Linked DNA regions of Oryctolagus cuniculus. Each later gene encodes a partner of the first gene's protein in a complex. Links are inferred from orthologs where the notes say so. Each region holds a gene or a part of one and is shown in the gene's direction. Other genes may lie near its edges.

What was found.
Region 2: the proteins of EIF2S1 (region 1) and EIF2B1 are in contact, whole or in part, in a cryo-EM structure (PDB 6K72), measured with the Homo sapiens proteins. The link is inferred for Oryctolagus cuniculus from reciprocal best matches to the Homo sapiens genes EIF2S1 and EIF2B1. Residues at the interface, in NP_004085.1 of Homo sapiens: Ala28, Glu29, Met30, Tyr33, Gly44, Met45, Leu47, Leu48, Arg75, Lys80, Tyr82, Ile83, Asp84, Arg88; in NP_001405.1 of Homo sapiens: Gly39, Thr41, Ile42, Gln43, Gly44, Leu45, Arg46, Ala47, Asn48, Glu70, Arg74, Ser77, Ser80, Leu81, Glu82, Tyr83, Ser84, Asp85, Tyr86, Cys89, Leu305.

What each region holds. Positions count from the first base shown.
Region 1 is NC_091451.1:13,233,506-13,237,319, forward strand, and holds part of EIF2S1 (eukaryotic translation initiation factor 2 subunit 1), read left to right. Parts: intron 1-173; coding exon 174-280; intron 281-2,032; coding exon 2,033-2,130; intron 2,131-2,786; coding exon 2,787-2,930; intron 2,931-3,814. UniProt on the Homo sapiens protein: Member of the eIF2 complex that functions in the early steps of protein synthesis by forming a ternary complex with GTP and initiator tRNA. This complex binds to a 40S ribosomal subunit, followed by mRNA binding to form a 43S pre-initiation complex (43S PIC).
Region 2 is NC_091452.1:5,814,145-5,817,696, forward strand, and holds the end of EIF2B1 (translation initiation factor eIF2B subunit alpha), read left to right. Parts: intron 1-596; coding exon 597-672; intron 673-1,629; coding exon 1,630-1,755; intron 1,756-2,225; coding exon 2,226-2,393; 3' UTR 2,394-2,948; downstream 2,949-3,552.

The sequences.
Region 1 (3,814 bases):
TTTACCATTTGAAAAGGCCCAGTTACACAGTTATTAAAATCCAAAACTAATATTTCTGACCCCAAAGCCCATGCGTTTCGGTGTGTGCATTATTTCATGATATAGTATGTTTTGTTTTACACTTACTGGTACTATAACCTTGACCCTTTGTTTTATTTTGTCTTTTAAATCAGAGATCCATCTATTTTGGATAGTTTAGATTTGAATGAAGATGAACGGGAAGTACTCATTAATAATATTAATAGGCGTTTGACCCCACAGGCTGTGAAAATTCGAGCAGGTAAATGATTTTTTATAAATACTTGTATGTACCAGAAAAACCGTTAAATATTTGCTTTTACGGCCGGCGCCGCGGCTCACTAGGCTAATCCTCCGCCTAGCGGCGCCGGCACACCGGGTTCTAGTCCCGGTCGGGGCGCCGGATTCTGTCCCGGTTGCCCCTCTTCCAGGCCAGCCCTCTGCTGTGGCCAGGGAGTGCAGTGGAGGATGGCCCAGGTGCTTGGGCCCTGCACCCCATGGGAGACCAGGAAAAGCACCTGGCTCCTGGCTCCTGCCATTGGATCAGCGCGGTGCGCCGGCCGCAGCGCGCCGGCCGCGGCCGCCATTGGAGGGTGAACCAACGGCAAAGGAAGACCTTTCTCTCTGTCTCTCTCTCTCACTGTCCACTCTGCCTGTCAAAAAAAAAAAAAAAAAAATTTGCTTTTACAAAGATTGGTCAAACTAACCTTTTTCCATCCAGAATATCATGGATACCCTTCCATGAGAAAGAACATAGGGATCTTATTCTTTTTCATGGCTGGGAGAGCGGATGAGCTTTAACAAACCAGTCCCCTTTTGATGAGTGTTTAAGTGGTGTTAGTTCTTTTTTCCACAATGACGAACAAAAGAAATGCACTGGCGCAGGTGGGGCCGGCACTGTGGCGCAGTAGGTTAATCCTCCGCCTGCGGCGCCGGCATCCCATATGGGCGCCAGTTCTAGTCCCAGCTGGTCCTCTTCCAATCCAGCTCTCTGCCATGGCCTGGGAAAGCAGTAGAAGATGGCCCAAGTCCTTGAGCCTCTGCACCCATATGCGAGACCGGGAAGAAGCATCTGGCTCCTGGCTTAGGATCGGCACAACTCCAACCATTGTGGCCATTTGGGGAGTGAACCAGTGGAAGGAAGACCTTTCTCTCTCTTTCTCCCTCTCACTGTCTGTGACTCTACCTCTCAAATAAATAAATAAAATCTTAAAGAAGAAAGAAAGAAATGTACTGGGAGCCAGCGCTATGGTGTAACGGGTAAAGCCACTGCCTGCAGTGCTAGCATCCCATATGGGCGCCAGTTCAAGTCCCAGCTGGTCCTCTTCCAGCCCAGTTCTCTGCTATGACCTGAGAAAGCAGTGGGAGATGGCCTATGTGTTTGGGTCCCTGTACCCATGTGGGAGACCTGGAAGCAGCGCCTGGCTCCTGGCTTTGGATTAGCACAGCTCTGGCCATTGAGGCCATCTGAGGAGTGAACCAGCAAATGGAAGACCCCTCTCTGTCTCTCTCTTTGTAACTCTGCCTTTCAAATAAATAAATCTTTTTTAATAATTAACACATTTATACAACAGTTTTCAAGACCAATTCCCAAAAGTAGAATCAGTGAGTCAGAGGGGCTGTAGTTTGTAGACACACCGCAGTGGTTATTTCACTCGGCCTTCACACCCTCCTAATCTCCATTTATAAACAAGAAACTAATTTCAGAGAGGTCGGAATCGGTACTTCAACCCAGTCGTAACCAAAATTTAAAGTGTTTATTAAATATATTTATCATTTGTAATTTTGTTATTAGGTGACTTGATGTGGATTAAAAGTTACTATTTCACTGTATATTTAGATATTTTTCATTGTAAAAATTAATAACTGGGATTGATTGCTAATTAAAAGGTGATAAAAGCCTTTATAATTATTTGAATGCTAGTGTATCTACCTCATCTCTTGATATCTTTTAAATCTTTAAGTAATCCTTCCTGGGTTTTTTGTGTTAGCTTTTGAATTTTTGTAATTTTAGATATTGAAGTGGCGTGTTATGGTTATGAAGGCATTGATGCTGTGAAAGAAGCCCTGAGAGCAGGTTTGAATTGTTCTACGGAAACCATGCCCATCAAAGTGAGTCCTCAGTTTTCTCTCTCCCTGATGAAATGTTGAAACCAAATGAGATCCTTATTTGGATTTTTTTTCTGTGATCGTGTTTCATAACAAAAGTGATTTGTCCTTGAAATTGAACCGTGATTCTTGGTGCTATTTCTAGGGAATGTGTAGGCTTTTTGTGATTACTGCTGTCACAGTAGATGGGGAATCCTCTTGCTAACTTCAGTAAAGAGATGTAATGCCCACATGCTCTTAGTACCTTGAAAAGGCTAGCCTTCTCTCTCAACTGCACACAAACAACCTCTGTGAAGTTTGTTCTGACTCTAGCAATAAGCTGGATGGCTGTTATTCACAATCTTTTAGAATTCCTTCTGTGGGCTTAGCTTAGAGCCAAAGTGTCCATTATGCTGGAAATGACTAGTTTAGCCACCAGTGCCAGCCAGAAGCTATAATTAATTCTTCATAGTCTGTATTGCAATGCTCTGTTTATGCTACTGGACTAGGTTACTTTATTAATTATTACTACATTGACAAATGGTCCCAAATTGCACATCTACAGGATTGGGAGTTTTGAGGTGATTTGTTAATGCCACAAATTAATAACACAATTTTTAGACATCCTAATTGTTATGTTTTGTAGGTAAACTCATAATTGAATTTTATTTCTCTTTTAGATTAATCTAATAGCTCCTCCTCGATACGTGATGACTACCACAACCCTAGAGAGAACAGAAGGTCTCTCTGTCCTCAATCAAGCTATGGCTGTTATCAAAGAGAAGATCGAGGAAAAGAGGGGAGTGTTTAATGTTCAAATGGAGGTGAGCTCAAGACCTTCATTTTTACTTTGTTCCTAAAGTCTTTATAGAATTTAAATCATGGCAAATAATGTGCTCTGTAAAATACCTAATCACTGCCCTTTAAAACATCAAATACAAGAGCACTTCAAAAAGTTCATGGAAAATGGAATGTTAAGTATGAGTTTAGGGGCTGGCAAATAGTGCTGCAGCAAGCTAAGCCACTGCTTACGACGCCAGCATCCCAAAGGGGTGAGGAACCTTTTTTCTGTGAATGTCCATCTGGGTATTTATAGTTTCATTCGTGGGCTATACAGAATTATCAAGTTAAAAATTAACCTGCTGTAGATTTATTGAATCTCGAGTCACACCTGCAGTTGCTTTGGCAGGGCCAGGCCAGATGATTTCAGGGGCTTTATACAATTCACATGGACCAGATATTGCCCATTCTTGCTACATTGCAATGCTCATTCCAGTTCCAGCAGCTGGCTTCCAATCCAGCTCCCTACTAATGTGCCTGGGAAGACACTGAAGATGGCGGAAGTGCTTGGGCACCTGCCATCCATGTGGGAGATCAGAATGGAGTTCTTGGCTCCTGGCATTGGCCTAGTCCAGACCTAGCTATTCCAGCCATTTCAGGAGTGAACCAGTGGATGAAAAATCATTGATTTCTACCCACACCCCCCCAAAATCATACTGCCTTTCAAATACTTTTTTTTTCTTTTTTTTTAATTTGGAAGGGTTAGAGGGAGAGACACAGAGAGAGGGATTGTCCATCCACTGGTTCACTCCCCAAATGTCTGCAGTGACCAGGGCTGGGGCACCAAGCCAGGAGCTTCATCTGGGTCTCCCAGGTGGGAAGCAGGGGACCAAATACTTGGGCCATCTTCTGCTACTTTTAAAACAGG
Region 2 (3,552 bases), on another chromosome or scaffold:
AGGTCTGGACAGTGTGGGTGGAAGATGGGCTGTGGGGTGTCACCTGCTGAGCCGTGTGCCACGGGCAGGGGGGTCAGTGCACTCAAAGAGCCAGGTCCAAAGGCCGGGTGGGTCAGCGGTCAAGGTCATCGGGGCTCTCCAGCCAAGGCTCAGCTGCTCCCGGGGCCAGCCGTGGGCAGGCTGGGCTGTCATGTCCTGGGTGCTGGGGCAGCCTCCGTGCAGGCTGGGCTCCCCTGGGGGGAAGGGGCAGCAGCGTGCTGGGCACTCAGCTCACCAAGCAGCTTCTCTCCCGAGACCAGCGTCACGCGTCCCTTGGATTGTGGGTGTTAGAACAGCAGTGATGGTTCGTGGGAGGCAAGCGCCCAAGGTGGGCGGTGAAGGAAGTCAGGAACACTCTCAGTATACCTGGAGGCAGCCAAACCCCTCTGAGCCACGCACGCGCCTGGCTGAGGTCGCCGCGTGCCTCTGCTACAGTGCCGGGCTCGAGTGCTCTTTTGATAAAAGGTCATCGTGGCTGGCGCCTTCCGTACTGAAAGGGAATACGGATCTTCCCAGAGGGCCCAGCGTCAACAGCACTGCTGTTCCCGTTCCTTTAGCTATATCATGGAGAAAGTGGACCTCGTCATAGTTGGTGCTGAAGGAGTTGTAGAAAACGGAGGCATCATTAACAAGGTAGGGGCCGCCCCTCTCCCCGCTGACCTGGGCGCTGACAGTGCTGTGTGCCTCTCCACGCCAGGGCCGCCCTGTGAGATCCCATAAGCCACTGCACCGCTCAATCAAATTTTGTTCTAATTTTCCTTGGAGATTGATGTGCATAAATTAAGATGGGGTAATTTATATTTACACAGCATAATTTGTATTTACACGAAACGAGTCTTAATTAGAGTTGGGGTTGGCAGTTTTGTTATTTTAATGGGGCGCTGACCTCAGCATAATTCATCTTCTCTGCATTGCTTATCTGGGAAACGTCGGTCTGCAGTTTATTCTCATTTGTGGTCGATACATGAACAGATCTGCCACATAATAAGTGCGGCTCAGCAGCTCTGAGTACATTCACAGCCTCGCTGACTGTCCTTGTCTGTTTCCAGAACTTTCCATTCTTTCCTCACGCAGTCCGTCGCGATTAAACACCTACCAGCCTTTCAGCCTCCCTGAAGGCCCTGGTCGCCTCCACTCTGCTTTCTGCTACCTGTGAGCACGGCTGCTGTGGCTGGGCACGGTGTTGCCGAGGTGTAGGCACGGGGCACGTGTCTGGCCCTCACTGTTCCCTTTTTAACTGATCCGTAAGCAGCCTGCATGTCTACGCAGTACCACGTGATGTGTGGCACTGAAGTGGGGGGCGCGCTGTGTGTGCATCCCAGAGCTTGGGCTGTTTGGGCTGTTTCTGCGTCCTGCCCCTGTGAACATGGTGGATCCGAGCCAAAGCCCTGGCTGGTGTCTCATTGACGCGCGGAGGTCCATTTCCCTCAGGGCCCTCAGGTCGAGTGATGCTGGGCGTCTTCTCGGGTGCGGAGGGACCTCTGACTCTGGGACCTCTGTGAAAGGCCCTCTGGTTCCAAGCCCTGTGCCCTTGCTGCGGGTTCCACGTCAGAGTTGCTCTAGGAGCTCCCCTTCGCCCTGTCTTCCCAGATTGGAACCAACCAGATGGCTGTGTGCGCCAAGGCACAGAACAAGCCCTTTTACGTGGTCGCAGAAAGCTTCAAGTTTGTGCGGCTCTTCCCGCTCAACCAGCAGGACGTGCCGGATAAGTTTAAGGCAAGAGGGGGCATGGGAGACTCGGCCTAACCCTTGGAAGAACTAGTGCCACCAGCGTTCCGGTTAGACATTCACCTGCCACTGCCGTTCTCTCCAGCATCAGTCGGGGGTCCTAAAACTTGCACTCCATGTTTGTCCCCAGAATTTCAGTCTGCAGCCCCCTGCCCACATAGCCAGTGGAGTGTGAGGAGAGGAGCCAGGAGGCTGGCAGCCGGGGTCCCAGCTTTGGAATCCACTCAGCTCCCCCCCCACCCCCGCAAACCTGTGACCAGGGGCAAGTGCTTTCACTGTCACTTGGCTTGCTTCCTGTCTGTCATCTGACAGGAGCTGGGGACTCCGGCTGTCCACAGGGCCTGGCACGTGGCAAGCACTGGCCCCCTCCTGGCCACACGCTGCCAGAGCTGTCTGAGGTAGCAGCACGCCCGAGCTGGCGCAAGGCCTCCCACTAACGCGTGCTCTTATCCCCGCAGTACAAGGCAGACACTCTGCTCAAGTCCGTAGAGACCGGGCAGGACCTCAAAGAGGAGCACCCATGGGTCGACTACACCGCCCCGTCCTTGATCACCCTGCTGTTCACGGACCTGGGTGTGCTGACGCCCTCCGCGGTCAGCGATGAGCTCATCAAGCTGTATCTGTAACGCAGGCCCCTGTCTGCCGACGCCCCCGGCGAGCCAGCCAGAACTGCACTGTTTTAATGAACATTGACGGACCACTGGAAACTTCAAGTCTGAAATCTTGGGGTCTTTTTTACTCGCCTCGCAATGCATTCACGGCCCTCAACCCAGACTGTGCTTGTGGTCTCCAGAAGCTCATCCTAGGTTTTCAGCAGCTCAACAAACAGTTTGCCGAAAGCAGCGCAGGCCTCCACGGCGTGACCGGGACGCCTGTCACACGGCGCCTTGCAGGAAGGTGAAGAACACGAGCCGAGTGTGCCTCTGGCTCAGGCGGTGAACAGGGCCGAGTGCCGCATCCCTGCACTGGCTCCCGCCCCACGGGAGACCACTGAGGGGGAGGGAGAAACAGCACGGGCGCTCGTAGCCCGCACAGCCTGGCACACACGGAGACACCTTCCCCGACACTGCAACCTCACATTCTGCCTCTGTGAGATGGTGACTTCCTTTACATGTGTCTGGGTCCTAAACATCCTGCCTGGGAACAGGTTCGGCATCTTTTCAAATAAACTAGGATCACGATGTTGATGTGTGCATCAGTAAGGCAGGCCGGCCCTTCTGGTCAGACACGGCAGCACGCCCACAGCCAGGCCGGGCGCTGGCCTGGTGGTTAATACACTCGCGTGCCCCACCTCAGTTCCTGGGTTCCAGCTCCAGCTTCCTGCTGATGCAGACACGGGGAGTCACTGATGACAGTTCAAATGACGGGGTTCCTGCCACCCTCGGGGACCTGGATTGTGTTCTGGGGCTGCTGGCTTTGGCCTGGCCCAGCCCGAGCTGTTGCAGGCTTTAGGGCAGCGAATTGGCATAGGAGCTCTGCCTGGCGCTCCACAACGACAGAAACGCCAATCAGAAAGGCATGGTTTATTCAACAGGAGGCGTGAAATTCAAAACGCCCTCCCCAGAATAGGACCCGATTCCTCCGCTTTTCTGATACTTGCCTGGGGGTGATTCTTAAAACAGCAAAAGCCCAGCACACTCGCCCGCTATGAGGAGCTGCAGGCAGGGCTCCAAGGGCAGTACGCGTAGGCGCAGGGGCCCAGGGCGGTCACGTAGGCGCAGGGCTCCAAGGGCAGTACGCGTAGGCGCAGGGGCCCAGGGCGGTCGGGCGCCTGACCGTGCTAAG